2 linked regions of the Elephas maximus indicus genome follow. The protein of the gene in region 2 purifies or fractionates together with the protein of the main gene of each other region. This does not show direct contact. Links are inferred from orthologs where the notes say so. Each region holds a gene or a part of one and is shown on either strand. Other genes may lie near its edges. The genes, in order: NMT1 and ACBD6.

Region 1 (3,918 bases), on a different chromosome or scaffold from region 2:
AAGCATCTCAAGGCCACAATCCCTTTTCTCAGGCACCTTACAACTGGGTGAAGTAGGGACCCAACACGTTATACAAAGTTATCAAATATGTTATTTAATTGGAGCCCTGGTGGTGCAGTGGTTAAAGTGCTTGGCTGCTAACCAAAAGGTCAGTCATTCGAACTCCTTAGCTGCTCCATGGGAGAAAGCCATGGCAGTCTGCTTCCATAAAGGTTAATGCCTTGGAAACCCTATGGGGCAGTTCTGCCCAGTCCAATAGGGTTGCTGTGAGTCAGAATCAACTGGATGGCAGTGGGTTATTTAATTACTGTTCTGATAAAAGCTATGAAAAATACAGTATGTGATAAAAGCAGGGAGGCAGCTAGGGGAAGGGGATGGGGAAGATTTGAAGGAAGAGCAGGATGCAAAGCCAGAGGGTTGCATTCCAGATGTTATCTCATTTAATCCCCACAAGTCTAGGTTAAGTAACTTTCCCAAGGTCACACATCAAGTGTCAGAATGAGACTTTGAACCCATGTATGAATGACTCCAAAGTCCATGCTTTTCCCACCATGTCACGCTGCTTCTTCCCCAAACCTCCTCTGACAATTAATTGAAAAGTGTTGATTCTACCTCAGATTCTATTATCTAAGTGCCAGAATCGGACTCTCTCCTCCAGGCTGGGTCCTCTGTTTTTCACAGACCTCTAGATTTTGGATGCTAATAAACTTAACTCAACCAGACCATAAACATACAAGCCCAATTCCTACTCACATGGACCCTATAGGACAGAGCAGAACTGCCCCATAGTATTTCCAAGGCTGCAAATCTTTTTGGAAGTTGACTGCCACATCTTTCTCCTGTGGAGGGACTGGTGGGTTCAAACCGACTACCTTTTGGCTAGCAGCTGAATGCTTTAACCACTGCCCCACCAGGGCTCCTTACCCAAGCCACAAGCATGTACAAAAACAACAACAAAAACATCTCCAAAGTTTTTTTTTTTAGGCTGCCACTTAGTTGTACCATGAACACAAAACTTTCTGCCAGACAGTTTTGCAAAGTGATTCATAGCATGTAGGGAACAAAACCTACTGAAGAATTATAGACACAGATCACAGCAATGGCTTAAGCAGAGAAAACTCAAAGCACACTACGCAAAGAACAATGAAAAAGTCATATTTTCACTTCTGAAATGACTTTCACATTCAATAACTCTCGTCTCTGACTCTAACCTCTACCTAGGAAAGCTGCACTTTCCCTTCTTCCTGTTCCTACTTCCTCTTTCTTAGCTCTTCTAAGGAATCTCAAACTTCAAAACAAGGCTTTTATTACATTAGAACTGTTGTGAGTTACAGCAACAGAACACAGTCTTATAAACCTAAATTTGGCAAGCTACCTTTCCCTCTATGTTCTTTGTGTGAGTTTTATGCTCTTGGAAGAACATAAAAGCTATAAAGATTCATCACAACAAGCAGACTATAAACTACTTAAGTAATCCTTCACTCTCCAGTCCCCACTAGGTAGCAGAATTAAGAAAAAAAAGAAAGTTTCCAAAAACCTCAACCTTCTTCTCTGGGACTACCATTAGCACTGCAAATGACAAGCTGGCTATGAAAAATCAGACTACCACAGACTCAGAATTATACAGCCAAAACAGTGTCTCACGACTAATAATATATATGTGAATATAGTAGATTAGGTAGTGGTTAAGAACTATGGCTGCTAACCAAGAGGTCGGCAGTTAGAATCCACCAGGTGCTCCCTGGAAACCGATGGGGGCAGTTCTACTCTGTCCTATAGGGTCGCTATGAGTCGGAATTGACTCAACAGCAACGGGTTTGGTTTGGGTTTTTTGGTATAGGGTGCCAGTCCCCATAACAATGTGAAGAAAGAAGAATGATAGGCTGTGGCTTAAAAGAACTCAATACTCAAAAGCCTGATGCATTTCTTCTTCCCAAAGAAGAAATGCAGTTACTAGTAAGCAAGACTCTAAAGTATAAGATGCAGTATTAAATCCACAGTTTCCAAACTGTCCGAGAAGCAACATCACTCAATTTCTCGAAGCTTGAGGCTACTTCGCAAAGTTAATAGAGCAAGGATGTGGGAAGACCTAATTACATTGTTCAGGAAACATGAATTATTTGGAGCAACGGACACCGTATAACTCAAAACATTATCATACAGTAATTACCTAGGATTTTTAAGGCCAGTATATATTTTAGGATTCTCTAGTAGTAATATTTTACAATATAATTACGGTTTGTATAGCTTGATGGATTTCCTCATTGAAGGGGAACTAGAGGAAATGTTTTATTATTCGTTTATTGCTAATCAGTCTGTTCATACAGTACCTCTACAGGTAACGTTCCCTTTGAACTGTACTGTCATTGGATTGCCCCGGGTTGTGCCATCAAAAACCATCGTCCAAATTGTTCTTTTCCTCAGACGCACCTCAAGCACACGAGTGGAACATCACACAGAAGAACTTTTATATAATGGAAGTATTGAATGTCTCCGGCCCTCGATATACTGAACACCCACCTTTGGTGAATGACAAAAACGGCAACCAATCGCCAGGCAAGATCCCAATCCCTTAGCCAATAAGAATACAGGGGTGGGGTTAGACTAAGCTCCCGGTTACTTCCCCGCACCCCAAAAACCCAGGTTGTGGGGAGACTGGACGGGAACTGAACTCCGAGGATCTCGTTACCCCCGGTTGTAGCTGTTGTCCTCCTCGTTCTCGCAATCGCTGCAGTGTTCATGGCCGTTTCCGTTCCCTTCCATCATTTGCGGCGGCGGAGGTGCCGGCGGCTTCACTGCTGTCTCACTCTCGTCCGCCATCTTGAGCTGCGAGAGCCGAGCTCCGCGCCGCGCTACATGCGGAGTTCCTATTGGACGAGAGAAACTTGCGTTATCTTCTGGGTTTTGTAGTTTTTTTGCGGATGGATGGCCCGCAACTAGGTGCGGCTTATTCCCTGAAAACGGAAACGAGTGGACTACAGTACCCAGAAATCATGGGGGGCGGTGTCCTCTATATTGGGCGGGGCAGCAATACCCGGAAGCCCTAGGTGCTCGGCCGCGCTTTAGGGGAGAGAAGGGCCGGGGTGACCGCTTGGCATGCTAGGAATTGTAGTTCGATGGTAGTTTAGGGTTCCAGGTGTGGAGGCTTCAAAATCCAAGGTTTGACCTCAGCCTGCCCTTGCTATTGCCTAGGCCACAGGTAAGCCGTTATTGGCTGCCGTTAAGGACCGTTACCATTCCCGGGTAAGTGAGAGGGCCAGCGGCCGGTGGATGCGACCCGTCCGGAGCTCGCATGGTTCGGGCCTTGGAGGGGACTTTCCTGCAAGAAGTCCGGTTGGCCCCTGTCCGCTTTCCTCCCTCGGCACACTTGGCAATCTCTGGTCGTTGGTAGTTCAAGGCCTCGCGAGGCAGGAGACCTGACTGCTCAGCCGGGCCTCGTCGCTTCTTGTCCTTCACGTGCTGATCTCCACTCAGCCTTTCTGCACACATTTTCCCTTTCTTTCTCCAAAACAGCACTCCACAACTACTCTTTACTGAGCACGTGTATGCCAGGCACTGTGGTAAGGCTTTTCATACATTCTCTCATTTTATCCTCTCAACAAGCCTAGAATGCGGATGATATTATTATTTCTCTTTTTCACAGATGAAGAAATGAGGCCCAGAGAGATTGGTCACTTGCACACAGTCACAGAGCTAATACGTGGCGAAGTCAGTATACAAATGGGGATTTATCTGCCCCTAGGCCTTCTGAATTCTTTACCACCACAAAAGTTCCAGTGTCTGATATGCACATCTACCCAAGGAAATCTGTTATTAGAAGGTAATTGCAATTTTTTAATTTATTTGTAGCCTTGACTGAATGCTTTAGTCCCTTGGGTCTCACCCCTGTGATGGAGTAATCTTTGACCTGGGTACTGA
Region 2 (3,918 bases):
GTTTGATTTTTTTAAGACTTCATTTAAAGATGATTTTGGAACCACAGACATACGTGAGGCTAAAACAGTTATTATGTTAGGTAAGTTTAGAGCTCAGCCTAAGAAATTAAGGTTCGTATCTCCGCTTGTTTGTATCATCTTCCTGCCTGACCACCTTACCTCATTCATTCAGCCTACAAAACAGGGTGCTATCTGGAATTGAAAATGTTTTAAAGAAATGGTTTTATGAGAAATTCTGATCCACTGTGCAGGCATTATATTGGACTTACAACTTCGTTATTCTATTAAAGATGCTATTGTTAAAAATGAAATATTTATAACAGACTGATGAAAACTGTAACCCAGCATCATGCCTAAGCAAGCACAATCTGATTCTCCAGTAATGAAGAATTTTATTTTCGGATACAGAATATCTCCAAACACCCTGAAATCAAGTTCTGGAAATGGTGAAGATCGCTCTTCCTTCAGACTGTGGGGATGAAGTGAGTATACCTGAGACAGAATGGTTATAAGCTGACAGGTTATTGTGGTTCACTGGTGACTCAGAAATCAGGCATTTAATAATGATGATGCTAATATCAATAAATATACATTCTATAAAGAATAAAGAACTTCTCTAAGGAATTTGGAGAAAATTAGTCTTGTATTGCTCAGAGAATCGTCCATCAGTCACACATGTGCCACAGTGCTCAGTAAATACGTGTTACATAATCAAAGGTTTCAGTCTAATGTTGTTAGAAAACAGTAAATGACTGAAGGGTAAATAAATATCCAGACCTTTTGCAAAAAACAACCTCCAAAGCCAGTTTTGGGGGCAATTTTCATTCAACACTGTGATTTATACCATTTGTACCTACAGCTATATCTCTCAGGCCACATTAACTGATATTCAGAATAATCATCACCAGTCTTCAAAATAAAGTCCATCTCTATTCAGTATATTCAGTTTAAGAACACAGGGAAAATGTATAATTATATCTTTTAGAATGATTTCCATCAACAAAAGTTAAAATACAAGAGACCAAATAAAGGTTAAAAATATATATATTTTAATAAAATGGGCTATTATCCAGCACTCCCCCCAAACAGCCGGAGTTTACCTGAACTGTTATTAAACTCTTGCACTGATTTGCTATTTGTTCACATCTAGACCCTCCAAGTACTCTGTAAGCCTCTGGAGGGCAAGTAGTGCCAAGCTTTTGCTTCTGCATTGCATTCCCTGTAGGCATAATACTTGGTTTGCAGATAAAGATGCCAAACAAATATTTGTTAATTTATAATGCAATTATTTTTCCTTCCATCACCTAACCAGTTATTCTTTGACTGATAAATTAAACATGTCTTATATGAATTACTCATTCATTTACCCATACATATTTCCAGGTAAAGTTCAGCACCTTAGACAGAGGAGATATAATCTAGTTCTAATTTATTTGTATGACCCTGGGCAAGTTACCTACCCTCTTTGGGCTCTGGTTACTTTTTCTATAAAAGAAGGGGATTATCTGATCTGGTCTTTACTAGATCTAAACTTTTTATGATTGTATCTAACAGAAGAAACATTCAGCCAAAACCTAAGTCTAAGGAAGTTAGGATTAAAAATAATAATAATAAATAACAATAATAAAAGTAGTATTTTGTTTTTGTATTGTACAATTCTATTTATTACAATCATGTCATTCTCCTGGATTGCAAAGATTTTTATTAACATTACCATATGTATTTCCATCTAACCCTTTGGCAATAGCGACTGATAAATCTTATTTTATCACCCTCATTTTGTAAAGGTTAAGGCTCCTGGAAGCGTATGTGCAAGGTCACTGAGCAAGTCGGAGAAGACAGAAAAACTGTCAGTGTCCAACCAAATATCACTCCCAGGAGAGTACACTGGGCCTTCCCATGACCAGAATGATGCTAATCCCCAGCAGATGACTAAAACACAAAACAAACACACATAAAAACCCAAAACACACACACACAGAAACTCCATTACACCTACCCATTAACCATGCAGGGTGTTACCGGTTTTTGGAGGAAAGAGAAGGCCCCCTTGTCTCTCTCCCACAGCCACCCCTTCCCTGCGACTTTACCTGCTTGTATCTGGCATACAGGTAGAGGAGCTGCTCCCTGCTGGCCACCTGAATCAGGCCTTGGAGGTGCGCTGCAGCCTTCTCGAACAGCTCTGTCAGGCTCCCGGATGCCTCGGTCTCGGGGCTCTGGAGGGATCCACCGACATCACCGGAGTCGTCCCCCGAGCTCAGCTCCCCGCCGAGGCCGCCCATGGTGGCCCCCGTGGGCAGGAATGGCGAGGCCATGTCACCTTGCTCGGTCCGTCCTCTACGTCGGGTCTGTCCTCCTCAGGACGGGTGTACCGCCAGCTCGGGGGCCTCGGGGACCAGCCTCGCTCCTCAGCCCGAGCCCGAGGCGGACCCAAGCTCACCTGCTCCGCGCTCCCTCACGGAACTCTGCCTCGTCCCACCTCCACACCTGGGCGCGCACGACAGCCGCTGCTACGCTCCGCAGCTCCCTCCCGGCTGATCCGGCCTCCCCGCCTTCCCTCCGGCCAGCGGAGCGCTCAGGCTCGCAGCAGGTCCCTCAACGGCGCAGAAGGCGGGACGCAGCGGAGCTCCCAGGTACCGGAGCCCAGGCAGCGCGCGGCGGCAGGACAGGCCGGCGGAGGGGCGGGCGGAGGCGGGGCAGCCTGAGCGCTGAGCTCGCGGCCGGGCACGTGCCCGGGGCTGCGCGCGGCGACGTGCGGCGCGCTACTGGTTTGGCCCTGCTCAGCGCTGGTAGGGGAAGCGGGGCGGGCCTACGGTGGACGTCTTCCCCTGCAGAGAACTCGGGGGACCTCGCTGGGGGAACGTTGCTGGACACAGGGTCTTCGGCGGTTGGGGCGTTCGTTAATCGTTTTGTTGAAATTCGTAGTCACAGACTCCGGAACCCGTCCTCGGAATGGGTCGTCGGTGCCGGGGGCGTGGGAGAAGGAGGCCATCTATTCGGTAGTGTAGCGGTCTGAGTAGAGTCGCGGGAAACAGAAAGTGAGAACCAAGGTTCCGCTTGTGCCCGCCTCTCCACCGCTGTGGCCAGCACGCCCCAAACGGGCGCGGATCCCTGCGCGCACATGTGGTGCTGCTTAAGGGTTTTCCTGTGTTTTGAATGTATGGGATTGGTTTGCGTGTCTTACTTTCCACACCTGCCGAATCCTTCAATTCTCAGAGCTCTAAAATAAGCTTAACTGGGATCCCTTCCCTTGGCACCAGTCTCTTCCGAACTCAGTCTTCGTAGCTGTGCTTTGTAAACAGTATGAAGTGAGACCAGAAAAATACGACATAATTCTGTCCTAAAGAAACTTTTAAAAAATGCAAAAACTATGGCATTAATAATAATGGTTAACATTTACTGAGTGTTTCATTATGTCCTAAGTGGTGGTGTAAAAAAAGAAAAAAAGGTACTGTATTCACTTAGTACTCAAAACACTCTAATAAGCATCATAAGAATGGTAGAAAGTGTTATAAAGAATGGTTATTGCTCATTCTGTGAAAAAAAACTTGTTGCCGTTGAGGCGGTTCTGACCCATAGCGACCCTATAGGACAGAGTAGAACTGCCCCATAGGGTTTCCTACGGGATTTGAGCTGTCGATCTGTTGGTTAGAAGCCTGAGCTCTTAACCACTGAGCCACCAGAGCCTCGTTGACCATTTAGGGTTAGACTTTAGACAGGTGAACGAAGATAAGGACAGGACGAGGGAACAGAGTGAAAGAAGGCAGGAAGGTGAGACAGCTTGGATCAGGATTAAACAAACATTCCTTGAGTGCCCAGAAAGTGCCACTGTTATTCCCTGCCCTCAAGACACTCAGTCCAGTTAAGGAGTGGCTGATAAAATGAACACACTTCTGCAATCAAATAGTGATAATAATA

Evidence for each region.
Region 1: the proteins of ACBD6 (region 2) and NMT1 purify together in Homo sapiens (co-immunoprecipitation; 3 studies listed by BioGRID and IntAct, with this or other methods). This does not show direct contact. The link is inferred for Elephas maximus indicus from reciprocal best matches to the Homo sapiens genes ACBD6 and NMT1.

Annotation. Positions count from the first base shown.
Region 1 is NC_064837.1:51,465,706-51,469,623, reverse strand, and holds the start of NMT1 (glycylpeptide N-tetradecanoyltransferase 1), read right to left. Parts: upstream 2,859-3,918; 5' UTR 2,821-2,858; coding exon 2,690-2,820; intron 1-2,689.
Region 2 is NC_064842.1:43,554,319-43,558,236, forward strand, and holds the start of ACBD6 (acyl-CoA-binding domain-containing protein 6), read right to left. Parts: upstream 3,022-3,918; 5' UTR 2,316-3,021; coding exon 2,091-2,315; intron 1-2,090. UniProt on the Homo sapiens protein: Binds long-chain acyl-coenzyme A molecules with a strong preference for unsaturated C18:1-CoA, lower affinity for unsaturated C20:4-CoA, and very weak affinity for saturated C16:0-CoA. Does not bind fatty acids. Plays a role in protein N-myristoylation.